Linked DNA regions of Danio rerio. The protein of the gene in region 2 interacts with the protein of the main gene of each other region in a pairwise test. Links are inferred from orthologs where the notes say so. Each region holds a gene or a part of one and is shown on either strand. Other genes may lie near its edges.

What was found.
Region 1: the proteins of katnal1 (region 2) and cox17 interact in binary tests that used the Homo sapiens proteins (3 or more experiments, as listed by UniProt). The two-hybrid records come from large-scale screens. The link is inferred for Danio rerio from reciprocal best matches to the Homo sapiens genes KATNAL1 and COX17.

What each region holds. Positions count from the first base shown.
Region 1 is NC_133184.1:22,851,372-22,855,132, forward strand, and holds the start of cox17 (cytochrome c oxidase copper chaperone), read right to left. Parts: upstream 2,338-3,761; 5' UTR 2,256-2,337; intron 2,013-2,255; 5' UTR 1,998-2,012; coding exon 1,876-1,997; intron 432-1,875; coding exon 347-431; 3' UTR 317-346; intron 1-316.
Region 2 is NC_133185.1:41,477,488-41,481,148, forward strand, and holds part of katnal1 (katanin p60 ATPase-containing subunit A-like 1), read right to left. Parts: intron 1,966-3,661; 5' UTR 1,880-1,965; coding exon 1,718-1,879; intron 1-1,717. UniProt on the Homo sapiens protein: Regulates microtubule dynamics in Sertoli cells, a process that is essential for spermiogenesis and male fertility. Severs microtubules in an ATP-dependent manner, promoting rapid reorganization of cellular microtubule arrays.

The sequences.
Region 1 (3,761 bases), on a different chromosome or scaffold from region 2:
TGACAGAAACATCTTTATTATTTCTTCTCTTATTTCATTTAAACTCTATTATAATTTAGTCCCTTGAGCAAGAAGCAATTTAGGAAAAATACCCAAGCTGCTCTGTTTTATAGAAAAGTAGCTGCTTTGAATTGTGCACTATAGTAAAAAAAATTTGTGAATCCATACACACTTTGTAAGGATCAGCCTTCACTTTTCACTTTTATAATATGAAAGAGAGCAGCTTGGACAGTGTTAAAATAACTTGCATGAGAGAGCACAAAATGTCACTAATTTGCAGTTCAAGAAAAAACTTTCAAAAGAAAAAAAAACTCACCATTCACTCATGATGATGATGATAGTGGTGTTATATGTTAAAACCAAGCGCTCTCATGCATTCCTTGTGTGCCTCGATGAGGTGTGTGCAGCTTTCCTCCCCCTTTTCAATGATGCTGGAATAAAGACAGTATTGTTTAGTTGCACACTGTGGCTAAAACACTTGCCAAGCATCAAATTAGTGTATAAATTGGTGTGTGTTTGTGTATATGTGTGTGTGTGTGTGTGTATATATATATTTCTATCCAGCTGACTGGCAGTATTTTGTTATTCATTCTAACAATGCCTGAGAACATGATATGATTTGCATAATTATCAAATCATGCAGAATGCACTGCAGTTATTTAATCTATTGATGTGATCTTTTGATCTATATATAGATAGAGTGAGAGAGATTTTAATATTGATGATCATATAGTGATGATTGATAAGTATATATTAATATTATAAATTGATTAAGGTTTTGCTAGTAGAGATCATCTGCATTATAATCATTGGACTATTACAGCCATGTGTAATCTACTGGTTATTTAAGAGTTAAGCTGCTGGAAAATTCTTATCTGAAACACAGTAACATTGTCTTTAAAAACGCCTGAGACCATGCTTGGGTTACTTTTGCTTACAGAGGCTGTCTCTTTGTAAACTGATCATGTCCGGAGAATAAAGCAATTAAAAGACTAACTCTGTCTGACTTTATTCAATTTTAGACTGCACATTAAAATCTATTTCCTTGTGAACAACAAGAAAATAATTTCTCATAACAATTTATGGTCTTAAGTATAGGATGAGTTTTCCCAAAATAAAATTAAAGTTTAGTTAATTTCTTTATGTATCAACAGTTTTTATTCATTTATATTCTCTCTTTTTTTTACTATTTCATAATTTATTTCAAGTAACAATGTGATTAAAGTTTTAAATTAGGCAATAACCCTGCCTTATTCAGTTATTGTTAACTGCAAATTATGTAAAAAATAAATGAATTAAAAAATAAAAACTGATCAGAGATTGGGAATGGGAATTCCCATTTTTGTGCTTAAAAAAATGGTCACTGGTATTAAAAGATTGAGGGAAAGTTTTATATTCACACATTCAGACTTTCTCCTTAATAATATAAGTTCAGAAAAGTATTTTATGCCATTTCTAAATAGTGGACACCGTTTACAGCAAGGGCATCCAAACTCGGTTCTGGAGGGCCAGTGTCCTGCTGAGTTCAGCTCCAACTTGCTCCAACACACCTGCCAGGAAGCTTCTGGTATATGTAGAGCTTGATTAGCTGGTTCAGGTGTGTTTGATTAGAGTTGGAGCTAAACTCTTCAGGACCGAGTTTGAACACCCCTGGTTTACAGTCAAATATATAGTGCTAATGTTGTTCTGAAGTCATACTTACATGTGATTTCAGACCAAATGTTTAAAGTAACATGGTAAACAATATAGGGAGCAAGTCACAAAACGAATGTTCGAATATAAAACCAACTTTACCACAATTATCTAAAGGTCTGTGTGATAATTCACTTTAAAGGATAAGTTAACTACTGAAATAAAAACAGTTAAAGTGCTCACCAAGCATCTCTTTCTTTCTTGGTCTCGGGACAGGCACAGCAGGGTTTGAGTGGCTTTTTCTGCTCTGCTCCCTCTATCGCTGCAGGTGAAGCCTCCACACTCGCTGCTGACAGACTCGACATTTCCACTCGATAAAACTGTAGGAGAATAACAAGACAGCCGATTAATCAGCTCTAAACTACTGCGAACAACCTGCAGCTGACCACCATATTGATAGTTACATCATCTTCAACAGTTCCTTATATTGATAATATTATATTTACAGCTTCAACACTCGCGTTCAACACATTATGTATTTAGGCGCTGGTAACACAGATAATCACGCCTGCTATCAGGTGAGATTTAATAATAAAACATTTACCACTCAAACGTTCACTTACGTTATATGATGGATAGAGACTGATGTGCTCACGTGCGTCCTTCCTTACACAACCTGCTGCTGCTGTCAAAAGCTGTAAACCCGGAAGTGTCGATCGGCTTCCGGGTAAAGTTTAAGGTCATTTGAAAGCTAAATAACATTCAAAGTTAATCCAAGCCGTTTTTTTACATATTTGTGATTTTAATGCAAGTTAGAGGTAAATAAAAAACGCGATTCGAGCTGAAAACAAAGTATAACATAACCCGAACGACAATATCATAATAAAAGTCATGTACATGATAAAAGCCTTGAGAAAGTTTTAGCTAATTGATGTATATTATCAGAATTTAGGTGTTTATTTATTTTTGAAGTTAGATTGTATATACGGCATTTCAAATTTAAGTATTTACAGATCAATTCGAATGACATCTTTACTTTATTTAATATTTGCAAAATAGTTTTGCTCTTTAAGTGAGCAATTGTTCAAGTTAAACTGACTAAAAATACGTTGTTTGTGTGTATGTATATACTTGCACATTCATTTTTTTTTTTTTTGGCTCAGTCCCTTTAATAATCTGGAGTTGCCAAAGTGGAAAGAATCGCCAACTTATCCAGCACATGTTTTACGTAAAAGATGCCCTTCCAGCTGCAACCCATCTCTGGGAAACATCCATACACACTCAATCACACTCATACACTACAGACAATTTAGCCTACCCAATTCACCTGTACCGCATCTTTGGACTTGTGGGGGAAACCAGAGCACCCGGAGAAAACCCACGCAAACGCAGGGAGAACATGTAAACTCCACATAGTAACACCAACTGACCCAGCCGAGGCTCGAACCAGCGACTTTCTTGCTGTGATGCGACAGCACTACCTACTGTGCCACTGTGTCGCCATACATGCACATATATTGAAAAAAAAATACATTGCAATATTTTATTTTTCTGTTGCAATATGAAGTATAATTTTACCAGATGAAATAAATGGCTCAATATGGTAAGAATTCATCATTTTAGATTGACTGGGATGCTTTTGTGAGTGCATCTGCATAAAATATAATATACCAATCACAAGCGTTGATAAATACAGTACAGCAAAGATATAAATTAAATAAACAGTATTTTACAGATTTCTGGAGGTCTAGCAGTATTCAGGTGCAAATTGTATAATCAAATGTAAAATGACCTATTACAGTCTTCATTGTATTTATAGATAAAATACAATTACAGTATTCTTAAAGTTACAAACATTACGATTTCGTGTGCCTGAATGCTCAACATTGCATATTTGCTGACTATTGCGGTTTCATACATTGTGATATCAATATTGTGCAAGCCAAATAAATATACAGTTGAAGTCAGAATTATTAGCCCCCTGTTTATTTTTTCTCGAATTTCTGTTTAACGGAGAGCAGATTTTTTTTAAACACATTTTTAAACATAATAGTTTTAATAACTCATTTCTAATAAATTATTTATTTTATCTTTGCCATGATGACAGTAAATAATATTTGACTAGATAT
Region 2 (3,661 bases):
TGTAGACTAAAAAAAAATGGGCTAAAGGGGGCTAATAATTTTCCTTAAAATGGTTTTAAACAAACCATGAACTGCTTTTATTCTAGCCAAAATAAAACAAATAAGACTTGCTCCAGATGAAAAATATTATAGGAAATACTGTAAAAATGTTCTTGCTCTGTTAAACATATTTGGAAAATATTTGGAAAAGAAAAGAAATTTCCAGGAGATTTAAAAATTTCAACTTCAACTGTATCAGTGCCCACAGGTTTGAAATTTACTTTCAGTGGTAGCTGGTAGCCACAAACTGAAACACACCATTTACCCAAATCACATAAATAGTTAACTATATGAGACAAACAATATATAATTAAATTGAACAATAATTTTAATATACACTGTGAAGTTTCAATGGGTAAAGTAAAAAATTAAAAAATAAATAAAAAAGAAGAACACATCCACAATTTCTCTTACTTTTATGCTATTCAGGAGCCATGTGCACCCGCTGACAGGTCAAATCTGCGTCTCTCTTTCTTTCAAGTTCAGAGCAAACTTAAATGCCAAAGCATTTTACATAAGTAAATAAAATAGCCTATGTAACATATTAACATCATCACATTAATGAAATAATCAGCAAATGAGAAATAAAAAACAGAAAAAGGAATAAAAAAAAGTCAATATCTCTAAAAATGATCATAATTACAAGATTAAAAGGAGATTATTAAGCCAAATGAGTTGATTAACCATTACTAATGATGTACATTTTCTCCGCGTATATTGTAAAATTTGTAAAAGTTGTTTAGATTTTAAAAATTAATCATTGAATGTTTCTCTCGCAAATTGCGAAGCAAAGCGAATAGCCTTAAGTAAAAAGGTGATGTAAACACGCATACAAGCTTTAGGAGGAAAAGCAAAAGTAGACTTTTTAGACATTTTAGGAGATTTAGAAACCCGGGGCAGACAAATTTTAAGTCCCAAAAAAATATGTCTCTGTGGGTCTGCAGAGCACGCGAGACCGTCAGTGTGTGTTGACTAGGCATGGGCCGGTTCTGATTGTGTAATAACCTTGGACAAAAATATCAAGGTTTCATGGTATCACGGTATTGTGATTACTGCTCTTGAATATGTTCTTTTTAAATGTAAAAAAAAAAAAACTAAAACTCTTTCTCTCTTTGAAAACAATATATTTTATTTTGTGAAAGACTTATAATATTTTGGAGCAGCAATCATGTCAGGCTAAAAAATTCAAATCAATCATTGACTTATGCTGTCTTCATTTCTTTCAAAAACACAGATTTCTTTACTATTTAAAACGACATCTTTTTCTGCTGAAAATTCTGTTGTAAATAAAAAAATCTTACTTATACCTTAGGAACGGTCCTACAGAAAATGTTGGCGGATTTAAAACATTAACTTTTCCAAACCGCTTTATACCTTGAAAACGGTTATCATCCCATTCCTAGTGTTGACAAGTCTCGCATGCACAGAACGTAACAGGTAAACGAGAGAAGATTTTCCACTACTTGATCAACTGCAGATGTTTGGTTATATTGAGCGGATGCAAAAAAAAATGTAAAGGATGTTAATAACAATAAAAAAAAAATCACTAAATTTACCTGGGCGGCCCACCCAGGTAAAGTCTATGTGTGGGAAGCACTGCTGTATATATTTTGGTATTAAATAAACAATCACTCATACATATTCAGTTAGACAGTTATAAAGTATAAGAGAGTTTTACCTGTTGCCATTTGACTTTCTGTGCAGGATCTCTGAGGGACTGACAGTGCTTATGGATCTGCTGTATAACACCTTGATAGTACACCATAGAAGAGTCATAGTTCCCCAAAAGCGCGTATTCTCTTCCTTTCTTAGCGTTGTCGCAGATCTCAGTCAGATTCATGATGAGAGAGAAATCAGAATGTTTCTTCAACACGACTGGAGTTCAGAGATTCTAGTTTGAGAGCTGCTGATATCAGGCCATGAGTCCTGAAGAGAACAGAGAGGCTGATAAGATGATGCAGAGCTGAATCAATCATTTACACTGATACAATTACTCAGTCTCGACTGCTCAAACGCATACAAGATACAGTTTAGTTTTGGCTGTGTGTAACTGCATTTTTATTGTTAACAGTTAATGGTGTGTGAGAAAATATACATTCATTGAGTATATGAAAATAGAAAATGTGCGTATGTGTACATTTGTACAAGCTGCGTATGAAATAAATGTGACAAATGGAAGCTGATAAGAGTAAAAGGCTTTTTCTTAAACACTACTGCTATTCCCCAATTGACTGATTACATCAAAAATTGCAAACTTTTATTTGTATTACAGATTTTCTGTTCAAATTGTTTACTTTAAATATGCAAATTAGGCTTAATTTAATAAAATGTCACTAATTTGCATATATTGTTTGCATAATATTATATAATTATTCATTTGGGGGCAGCACGGTGGCTCAGTGTCATCTCACAGCAAGAAGGTTGCTGGTTCGAGTCCCGGCTGGGTAAGTTGGCGTTTCTGTGTAAAGTTTGCATGTTCTCCCCGTGTTGGCGTGGGTTTGCTCCACAGTCCCAAGACACGCGGTACAGGTAAATTGAATAGACTAAATTGGCCGTAGTGTATAAGTGTGAATGTGAGTGTGTATGGGTGTTTCCCAGTACCGGGATGCAGCTGGAAAAGCATCCGCTGTGTAATACTGGATAATTGGCGGTTCATTCCGCTGTGGCGACCCCATAGTAATACAAGGACTAAGTCGAAGGAAAATCAATTAATGAAAATTCTTTTTACTCTTTTTATCAGTCGTATATTAGAGTCAAGTGATTTTAAAAAGGGGAATTAATGTGTCTCGCTTTTATCACTCTAGGCTTATTATTATTGACAAAAAATAAATATTTATTTGTAGGAAATACAGTATATAAAAAGGAAAATTGTATACAAGCATATGCAAAGTAAAGATATATAAAAAGTTTGAGTAAAAACTACAAATATGTAGGCTTTTGTGATTAAAAGTTTGTTTTCTTTCTACTAGACCAGTGATGCCCAAACTAGGGTCCGCGGGACAAAGTTGCCCATGGTAAACTATGATTTGGCCTGCCATGCCAGCTGAGAAGAGAGTGAGAATCAATCAATCTATCTATCCATTTACATATGTGTCTGTATGTCTGTCTATATATCTATATATCTGTAATATATGTATCTGTCTGTCTGTCTGTCTATGTATCTATCTATCTATCTATCTATCTATCTATCTATCTATCTATCTATCTATCTATCTATCTATTTATCTATTTATCTATCTGTCTGTCTATCTATCAATCTATGTCTGTCTGTCTATATGTCTAACTATTTGTGTATTTATGTATCTGTCAATTTACCTTTGGTCCACTGCACTCATTCAAGTTAGGTTTTTGGCCCTTCATAAGAAAAGGTTTGGGCACCCCTGCACTAGACTATACTCCATTAAACCTTACACTTTATGAAGAGCCAAAAAGCCCAAAATATAAATGTTATCATTCACAGTATGCAGCATATTTGGCATTTTTATATATTCATGATAAACTGCAACGTTCAATTTCAAGTGTTTTTTTTTCCGACCTGGTCTCCTTAAAGTGTATAAATTTGATGTTTTATTGTAATAACGTTTTAAAACGTACAGTAGTAACTGAGTCTTGAATAAATAAG